2 linked regions of the Xenopus tropicalis genome follow. The protein of the gene in region 2 purifies or fractionates together with the protein of the main gene of each other region. This does not show direct contact. Links are inferred from orthologs where the notes say so. Each region holds a gene or a part of one and is shown on either strand. Other genes may lie near its edges.

Region 1 (4,566 bases), on a different chromosome or scaffold from region 2:
GGAACAGGGAATCCAGGGACATGTGCAAGAGTGGGGGTAGTGACTTCTTATCTGCCCCCATCACCAGCTTGATGGCACTTTGATCATTAAAATGATACTCTGGCCTGCTTATATTTCCTTTAGATGCCATGGAAAGGTCATTTCCTGAGCCGTCCTAGTTCTAGAGTTATTTATGCCCAGCAACATGATAAACATTGGTGAAAGTTTGCTCATTTTCATGAATCTTTGTGTCTCACAGAATTATTTGTACACGAGAGGAACTTGTGGTTTCCATTGTGCAACTGATTTCTGCCAGAAAGCCCCTTTAGTTAAGTACAGCGGGTCCCCATCTGTTGGCATGGAATGGAAATGTGCTCATTATCATTAGTCTTGGGGATTTATTTACTCTCACTGATACATAAGAGACTCTGTTTCACACCTGTATATTAAAATGTTTTGGCGCAAATCTTTCCAAAACCTAAACCTTTTTAATTAACTTTTAGTATGACATAGAAGCTGATATTCCGAGATCATTAGCAAATGATTTTCATTTTTTATTTTTTGTGGTTTTTCATTTATTGAACTTTTTGCTCAGCAGTTCTCCTGTTTGGGTGGGTTGCCAGGGTCTTGTTTACCTTCGCAACCAGGCAGTGGTTTAAATGAGATACTTGAATATGAATACGAGAGCGACTGGATAGACGAGTAACAGTTATAAAAAATTGTAAGCTCACAGAGCAATAGTTTTGTTGGCTGCTGGAGTCAGACCAATTGCAAAGTTGCTAGAAATAAGACCTTCTATAACATAAAACTAGCTTAAAAGTGAACCACTCCCTTTAACAATAGTCTGCAACACAGTGATTGTGAAAGTTGATTCTTTGGTTGCTGATGCTCATCAGGGGCATTATTGTCTTCTGCTTTTCTCTCCCTTAATACTGCAATACTGTCATGGGAAAACACATCAGTGTCCAGCAGAATCCTGCATTGAAATCGTTTTTTTTAAAAGTGCACAGAGATTTTTTGTTTATATTTAACTTTGAAATTTCACATGGGGCTATTATTATTATTATTATTACATTTATTTATAAAGCGCCAACATATTCCGCAGCGCTGTACAATAAGTGGGTTACATACATTGGACATACAGAGTAACATATAAAGCAACCAATAACCGATACAAGAGGTGAAGAGGGCCCTGCCCAAAAGAGCTTACAATCTACAAGGAGAAAGGGTTAAGACACAAGGTGTGGGAATGGGCAAAATCAGAGTTAAGCAATGTGAGAGGCACAGGTTATTGGTTTTAGCAGCACAATGCGGTTATGTTAAATTAAATGAGAGTCATTTGTTTGAATTTTATCCTGGATGGTAGGGGAAGCCAGTGCAGGGATTGGCAGAGCGGCATGGCAGGGATTGGCAGAGTGGCATGGCAGGGATTGGCAGAGAGGCATGGCAGGGATTGGCAGAGAGGCATGGCAGGGATTGGCAGAGCGGCATGGCAGGGATTGGCAGAGTGGCATGGCAGGGATTGGCAGAGTGGCATGGCAGGGATTGGCAGAGAGGCATGGCAGGGATTGGCAGAGCGGCACGGCAGGGATTGGCAGAGCGGCACGGCAGGGATTGGCAGAGCGGCACGGCAGGGATTGGCAGAGCGGCACGGCAGGGATTGGCAGAGCGGCACGGCAGGGATTGGCAGAGCGGCACGGCAGGGATTGGCAGAGCGGCACGGCAGGGATTGGCAGAGCGGCACGGCAGGGATTGGCTGCAGGGGCAGGCAGGGATTGGCAGAGCGGCACGGCAGGGATTGGCAGAGCGGCACGGCAGGGATTGGCAGAGAGGCACGGCAGGGATTGGCAGAGCGGCACGGCAGGGATTGGCAGAGTGGCACGGCAGGGATTGGCAGAGAGGCACGGCAGGGATTGGCAGAGCGGCACGGCAGGGATTGGCAGAGTGGCATGGCAGGGATTGGCAGAGTGGCATGGCAGGGATTGGCAGAGAGGCATGGCAGGGATTGGCAGAGCGGCACGGCAGTGATTGGCAGAGTGGCACGGCAGGGATTGGCAGAGAGGCATGGCAGGGATTGGCAGAGCGGCACGGCAGGGATTGGCAGAGTGGCACGGCAGGGATTGGCAGAGTGGCATGGCAGGGATTGGCAGAGTGGCATGGCAGGGATTGGCAGAGAGGCACGGCAGGGATTGGCAGAGCGGCACGGCAGGGATTGGCAGAGCGGCACGGCAGGGATTGGCAGAGTGGCATGGCAGGGATTGGCAGAGTGGCACGGCAGGGATTGGCAGAGCGGCACGGCAGAGGAGGAGCGGTTGGAGAGGTGTATGAGCCAGGCAGCAGTATTCATTATGGAGAGGGGACAGGCTCTGAAAGGGAAGGCCAATTATTAGAGAGTTACAGTACTCTCTTGGGTATCTCTCTTGGTGGCATCTTGGGCGATAAATGATCATATTTTAAAAATATTTCTTTGGTGAAAGTGACATGATTTGATAAGTGACTGGATATGAGGAGTGAAGGACAGGGCAGAATCAAGGATAACCCCAAGGCACTGGGCCTGGGAAGATGGGGTGATGGTAGAATTGTTAACCTGTATAGATACCTCTGGAACAATGTGGGCGTTGGATGGGGGAAAGAGAACCAATTCCGTCTTAGAGAGGTTTTAGTTTAAGGGAACGTTGGGACATCCAAGTGGAGATAGGGGACAGGCAGGAAGAGACGCGAGTTAGGAGCTCTGGGTTGAGATCAGGAGAGGAAACAAAGAGGTGAGTGTCATCAGCATAAAGGTGGTACTGAAAGCCGAAATAATTGATTAGTTTACCAAGTGAGGAGATATAGAGAGAAAATAGTAAGGGGCCCAGGACAGAGCCTTGGGGAACCCCGACAGAAAGAGGCAAGGGAGAAGGTGAAGCTCCATTGTAAGAGACACAGAAAGATCTATCTGAGAGATAAGATGAAAATCAGGACAAGGCAGTGGAGAGGCTGGAGGAGAAGAGGGTGATCCACAGTGTCAAAAGCAGCTGAGAGATCCAGATGTAATAGTAGCGAGTAGTGGTTTTGGCTTTAGCCGATAAGAGATCATTAGTTGGATTAGAGCAGTTTCTGTGGAGTGTTGTTGTCTAAAGCTAGAATGTAGGGGATCCAGGAGGTTATTGTCAGAGAGGAAAAGTGTCAGTCGGTTGTAAACTAGGCGCTCAAGTAATATTTGCTATGTAAACAGTGTAATTTAGAAATAAAAAGTACACCATAAAAATCATGGCAGTATCCCTTTAAGGCAGTGTCAAACAAAACCTCCATGGCATTGCATTCTGTGTGCACATAACATTCCTCTTTATATTTGCTTTGGGAAATGCCACCCCCTTCATGGCTTTATTGACCTTTTCTGAGCCTGGGATAGCGATCTAGATACATCTAGATAAGATATATTCATGTAATGTAGTATTTACGAAGATAAATCCCAATAATGGTGCCTTTCCTCTGCCTTTCCAGGTGGCAAATGGGAGAAGCCTTCAGAAGTCATGGAAGTGACCGGAACAGTTTGGGAGGAGCAGGTGAACAGCCTCGCCGATGTCTTCCATGTAGCAGGCTTTGCGGTGGAAGCCGTCACCCGACTCCCTTATTTATGCGAAGGAGACATGTACAATGACTACTACGTATTGGACGATGCCGTCTTTGTTCTTCGGCCAATATAGAAGAGCAAGAGAATGGTAGAACGATGGGAGAGCAGTTCATGCTCTTGGACTAAGAGCCACCAAGGAAACCATTCTCTCAGCAAGTCAAATTCAATTCCTCACAGGCCAAAATTGTATGTATTTCCCGCAGGACTTGGTTTGGATACATAAATCTATATGTGCGTGGGTGTGTGTGAGCGTGTTTGTGTGAAATCTTACCCGGGCCGGGGGTGGAGGCAGAGTTGGGGTGCTTATTCTTTTTAACCAACAGTGCTACCTTTCCAAGCAGCGGAGAATTTTAATGCTGCCAATGCCATCGTGCCGCCAGCCGGCCCTGTGACAAATTGACACAGGAACAGGAACGAGAAGGACTTTTCTGATAAAGTACTGATCCTGGCAATAAAGTTTGTCGTATTTAATCAACTGTGAAATATACGTGTTCTTCCATGTGATTTAATAGTCTTGTTTGCCATTTTGAAGCACATCCTTTTTTTTACCATGGCAATAAAAATTGTATCAAATGTAAGGATTAAAGTGCGTTCTTTTTCCTTTTTTTGTATCTCACACTTCTTCAGCCGCAACTAAGTCCCTCACTATATTTAAATGGCAAGTAACACAAACAACACAACACACTGTTCAGGAATATACATATATATTTAGCCCTATACATATATATATTATACAGCCTTCAGAACTGAACTCAGATTACATATCAAGATGTTACTCTTTGTTCTCAGCTTTTGCTATATTTATATGCAACATGGTGTCCTAGGTTTGATTCCAGGCATGGCACTGTATGTTGTCCCAGTGCTTGTGTGGGTTTCCTTCAGGTGCTCCAGTTATCTCCCACACTCTAAAACCAAACAGGCAAGTTAATTGGCTCCTATTAAACATCACCCTAGTATATGTGTGTGTGTGA
Region 2 (3,647 bases):
ATGTCTCCTTTAAATTGTCTTCCACTTGAAGACACTTCAATTTACAAACTGGTTTAAATTAATAAATTTTAAAATTTTCCCATTGTCTCAATTTTGAAAATTATATTCACAACAGTGCTAAATTTCTAATACAGGTACTAGATTCCATACCGAGGGGGCAGCTTATTGCCCATGTATAGGGTCCATTGATAGGCCTGCCCAGCTAGGATCTGGCCAAAAATGGGCCATGTTTGACAAATCTGTAGAGTGAGGAGTGCATTGGTGGGTTGATGCGGTTTATCATCAGATGGGTCTTTGTAGGTCTCACTGAATGGTTTTGATCAGTTTACTATAAGAAAAAGCTGATTGGTTGCTAGGGGTAACTGACAATGAAAATAAATGAGCACTAGTTATTTTACAAATGTTTACACTTCACAGTGCATTACATGTCACTCTAATTTTGCTAGTGGTCAAAACCACTTAACAGAAAAAAAAAAAAAAAAAGGATCAGCTTTGCGGTTGCACCTAATATAATTAAAAGGTTTATTAAAGTCCAATGATGGAGCTGCCACTTACTGATTGCTATGTGAACAGAAAGCACAGGCTGGGTGACTGTCAGAGCCCAGATATGTAGACTATGTAGAGCTTTCACTCCATCGATCGAAAGCAAAGTGTCCTTTACCAGGTTAAAATCCACTCCCTTTGGAGTTCCTAAAAACATATTGAAAAGCATAGGTTAAAAAGAACACAAACAAACCTTCTCATTTACTGCATTGCAACCACTAAAGTCTTGGTGAAGGAAGAAAGGGTTTGGGTTCCTAGAGCACTGAGCTGGGACTGGGTGCTATTCTTCCAAGGTTATTAAACAAGCTTAGTGATTGCCAAACCTCTTCACTTAATTTTCTAGGATTCACTGAGGTCTGGCATGGTGCTGAGAGACTGGCGAATTGCTAATGTGGTGTCGTTATTCAAAAAGGGATCCCATTCTCAGCCTGAAAACTATAGGTCTGTTAGTCTGGCATCAGTGGTAGGAAAGTTTTTGGAATGCATAATAAGGGGTAGGATACTTAAATACATTGCAAATCATAATACTGGGACTTTATGCCAGCATGGTTTTGTGTTACACAATGCGCCAGACTAATTTAATTGCCTTTTATGAGGAGGCAAGAACCTTGACTCTGGGGACGTAGTGGATGTAATATACTTGGACTTTGCTAAAGCATTTGATACAGTAACACACAGAAAGGTAATGGTAAAATTGAGGGATATTGGCCTGGAACATAATATGTGTAATTGGACAGAGAACTGGCAGAAGGATAGATTACAAAGAGTGGTTGTAAACTGAACATTTTTTAATTGGACCAGTGCTGTTAGTAGGGTAATGCAGGGGACAGTCCTTGGTCCTTTGCTTTTAGCTTGTTTATAAGTTACCTTGAGGTGGGCAATGAAAGTCTTGTTTCTATTTCTTCAGATGACACTAACTTGTGCAAAACTAAGTTCCATGCAGGATTTGACAAAATTAGAAAACTGGGCAGCAAAATGGAAAATGAGGTTCAATGTCAAGGCCTGACCTTGAGTATACAGTTTTAGGCTTCAGTCCTAAAGGATATTTTTGAGCTGGAGAGAGAGCAGAGACGTGCAACTAAACTGGTAAAGGGGATGGAAGATTTGAACTATGAGGTTAGACTGTCAAGGTTGGTGGTTTCTCTGGAAAAGGGGTGATTGCGAGGGGACATGATTACAGTAGATGGGATTATAGACAGGGTGTTCTTTTTTTCCCATAAAAATGATCAGCGCACCAGAGGCCACCCTGAAGGTGGTTTTCCATGGTTAGGTTGTGGAATGTCCTTCTGAGTTGTGATGGCAGATTCTGTTAATTCCTTTAAGAGGGGCTTGGATGATTTCTTGAACAAGCATAATATCCAAGGCTACTGTAATACTGAAACCTACAGTTACTATTACTGTTGGTATATAAAGTTTATGTATGTGAGTGTATAGTTAGGTTAGTATGGGCCTGTGTGTGCTGGGTTCACTTGGAAAGGCTTAACTTGATGGACTTTGGTCATTTTTCAGACCAACTTAAGTAACCAATTCTCATTCCCATAAAGTTTATTTACACACACACACATTATATATATATATATATATATATATATATATATATATATATATATATATATATATATATATATATATATATATATATATATATATATATATATATATATATATATTATAACTTACCTTCCATAAGGACTAGAAGTACATCCCTAAGGATGGTCAGTGTTGTGATCAGAACCAGCACAGAAAACAGGAATGTGCATATAGGATCAATAATTTTATATTCTGGCTGTTGAGGCAAAATAATTTTTAAACTGTTAAATATATAACCAATGTATTCAACATTCTACAACAACAAAAGTAAGCACTATCCTATACAGTAAACCATACAGATTAATAGAAAAGTAAAAGGCCCTACTAACTACAGGTCACTGAAGGAGACAGGGAATACTTGAACCGGTGTAGCTCTAGAGTACTCTAAAGGCTAGGGGCCCACATATGGTTTTCTCTGCTGGTGTAGAAATGGTTGGAAATAGTGGCTTTTTGAATTTAAATGCTTAATTGTGCCAACCTCTAAAATTTTAGTTTGAATTCAACAGGCAGGTTGTTCAGGGATGGCCAGTGAAGTGTATAAATAGCAGTAATATTCATTATGGATTTGCAGTCTCTGGAGGGTAAAGCTAGCCATAAACAAGTTAAAAAATGCTGCCAACTCAGCCTCTCCAGACCAAGAAGGCAGTTGATGACCCATGAGGGATGGGGCTCCCAAGGTGCTGCCCACAGATATCTGGCTACAAATAGGCCGAATACCTATCAAGAAGGTCTGAAAGTTCTGTTGGACATGAACCACACCAGCATGTGACTGCTTGCCCAACAGGACACAGTAGGAGCGCAAATGATCAGACAAGTCCAATTTGGCACAGAGCGACGGTGGCCAAATTAGGCGAAGAGCAACTCATTTGGCATTGCAACATTTACAAAACCTTCTAATACAACCCTGTTTTCAAAAATGCTGGGACACTGTAAAATATAAATTCAAAGAGAATGATTATGCAAATCATTTAACCCTACAACCAGCCAGAGAGTCTGGCTTTCTAAGAAGTAAATATGGGGAGGGGTACACCACTTTGTGAAACACTGTACTATTTGCAATTAAATAAAGGGTTTAAATAATTTGCAATTCATTCCAGGGTCCTTTAATTTACATTTTATTTAAAGAGTCCAAACTGTTTTTGAAAACAAGGTTGCAGATATCAGACTGTCCCCTCACAGGTATTGTCTGGGTTCAAATTCAAACCAACAAAAGGCCAATAAGATTTTGACTTTGGCTGCCATAGGGGCAAATAAGCTCTAGACTGGAAGGAGTGGCTGAGTCAGCAACAAATGCTGGACGATTCCTGGCCCTTTATTGGTTGGGCATATCCTACAAAACCAGTAAGATGCTGAATCAATCTGGAGTCACTGAATCCGCAACTAATTTTGGACTGCATGTGGCCACCTAAACTGCCCTGCTGCAATTGAACACCTGTAGATCGGTTTTAGTTTCGGTTTAGTTTTGGCAAAGAGCTTTCAGAAATTCATTGCACTGGATGAGGCTTACCCTAGAA

The links.
Region 1: the proteins of slc30a2 (region 2) and mettl9 purify together in Homo sapiens (co-immunoprecipitation; 3 studies listed by BioGRID and IntAct, with this or other methods). This does not show direct contact. The link is inferred for Xenopus tropicalis from reciprocal best matches to the Homo sapiens genes SLC30A2 and METTL9.

Annotation. Positions count from the first base shown.
Region 1 is NC_030685.2:25,171,591-25,176,156, forward strand, and holds the end of mettl9 (methyltransferase-like protein 9 precursor), read left to right. Parts: intron 1-3,465; coding exon 3,466-3,668; 3' UTR 3,669-4,173; downstream 4,174-4,566. UniProt on the Homo sapiens protein: Protein-histidine N-methyltransferase that specifically catalyzes 1-methylhistidine (pros-methylhistidine) methylation of target proteins.
Region 2 is NC_030678.2:76,865,849-76,869,495, forward strand, and holds part of slc30a2 (zinc transporter 2), read right to left. Parts: intron 2,330-3,647; coding exon 2,224-2,329; intron 691-2,223; coding exon 556-690; intron 1-555.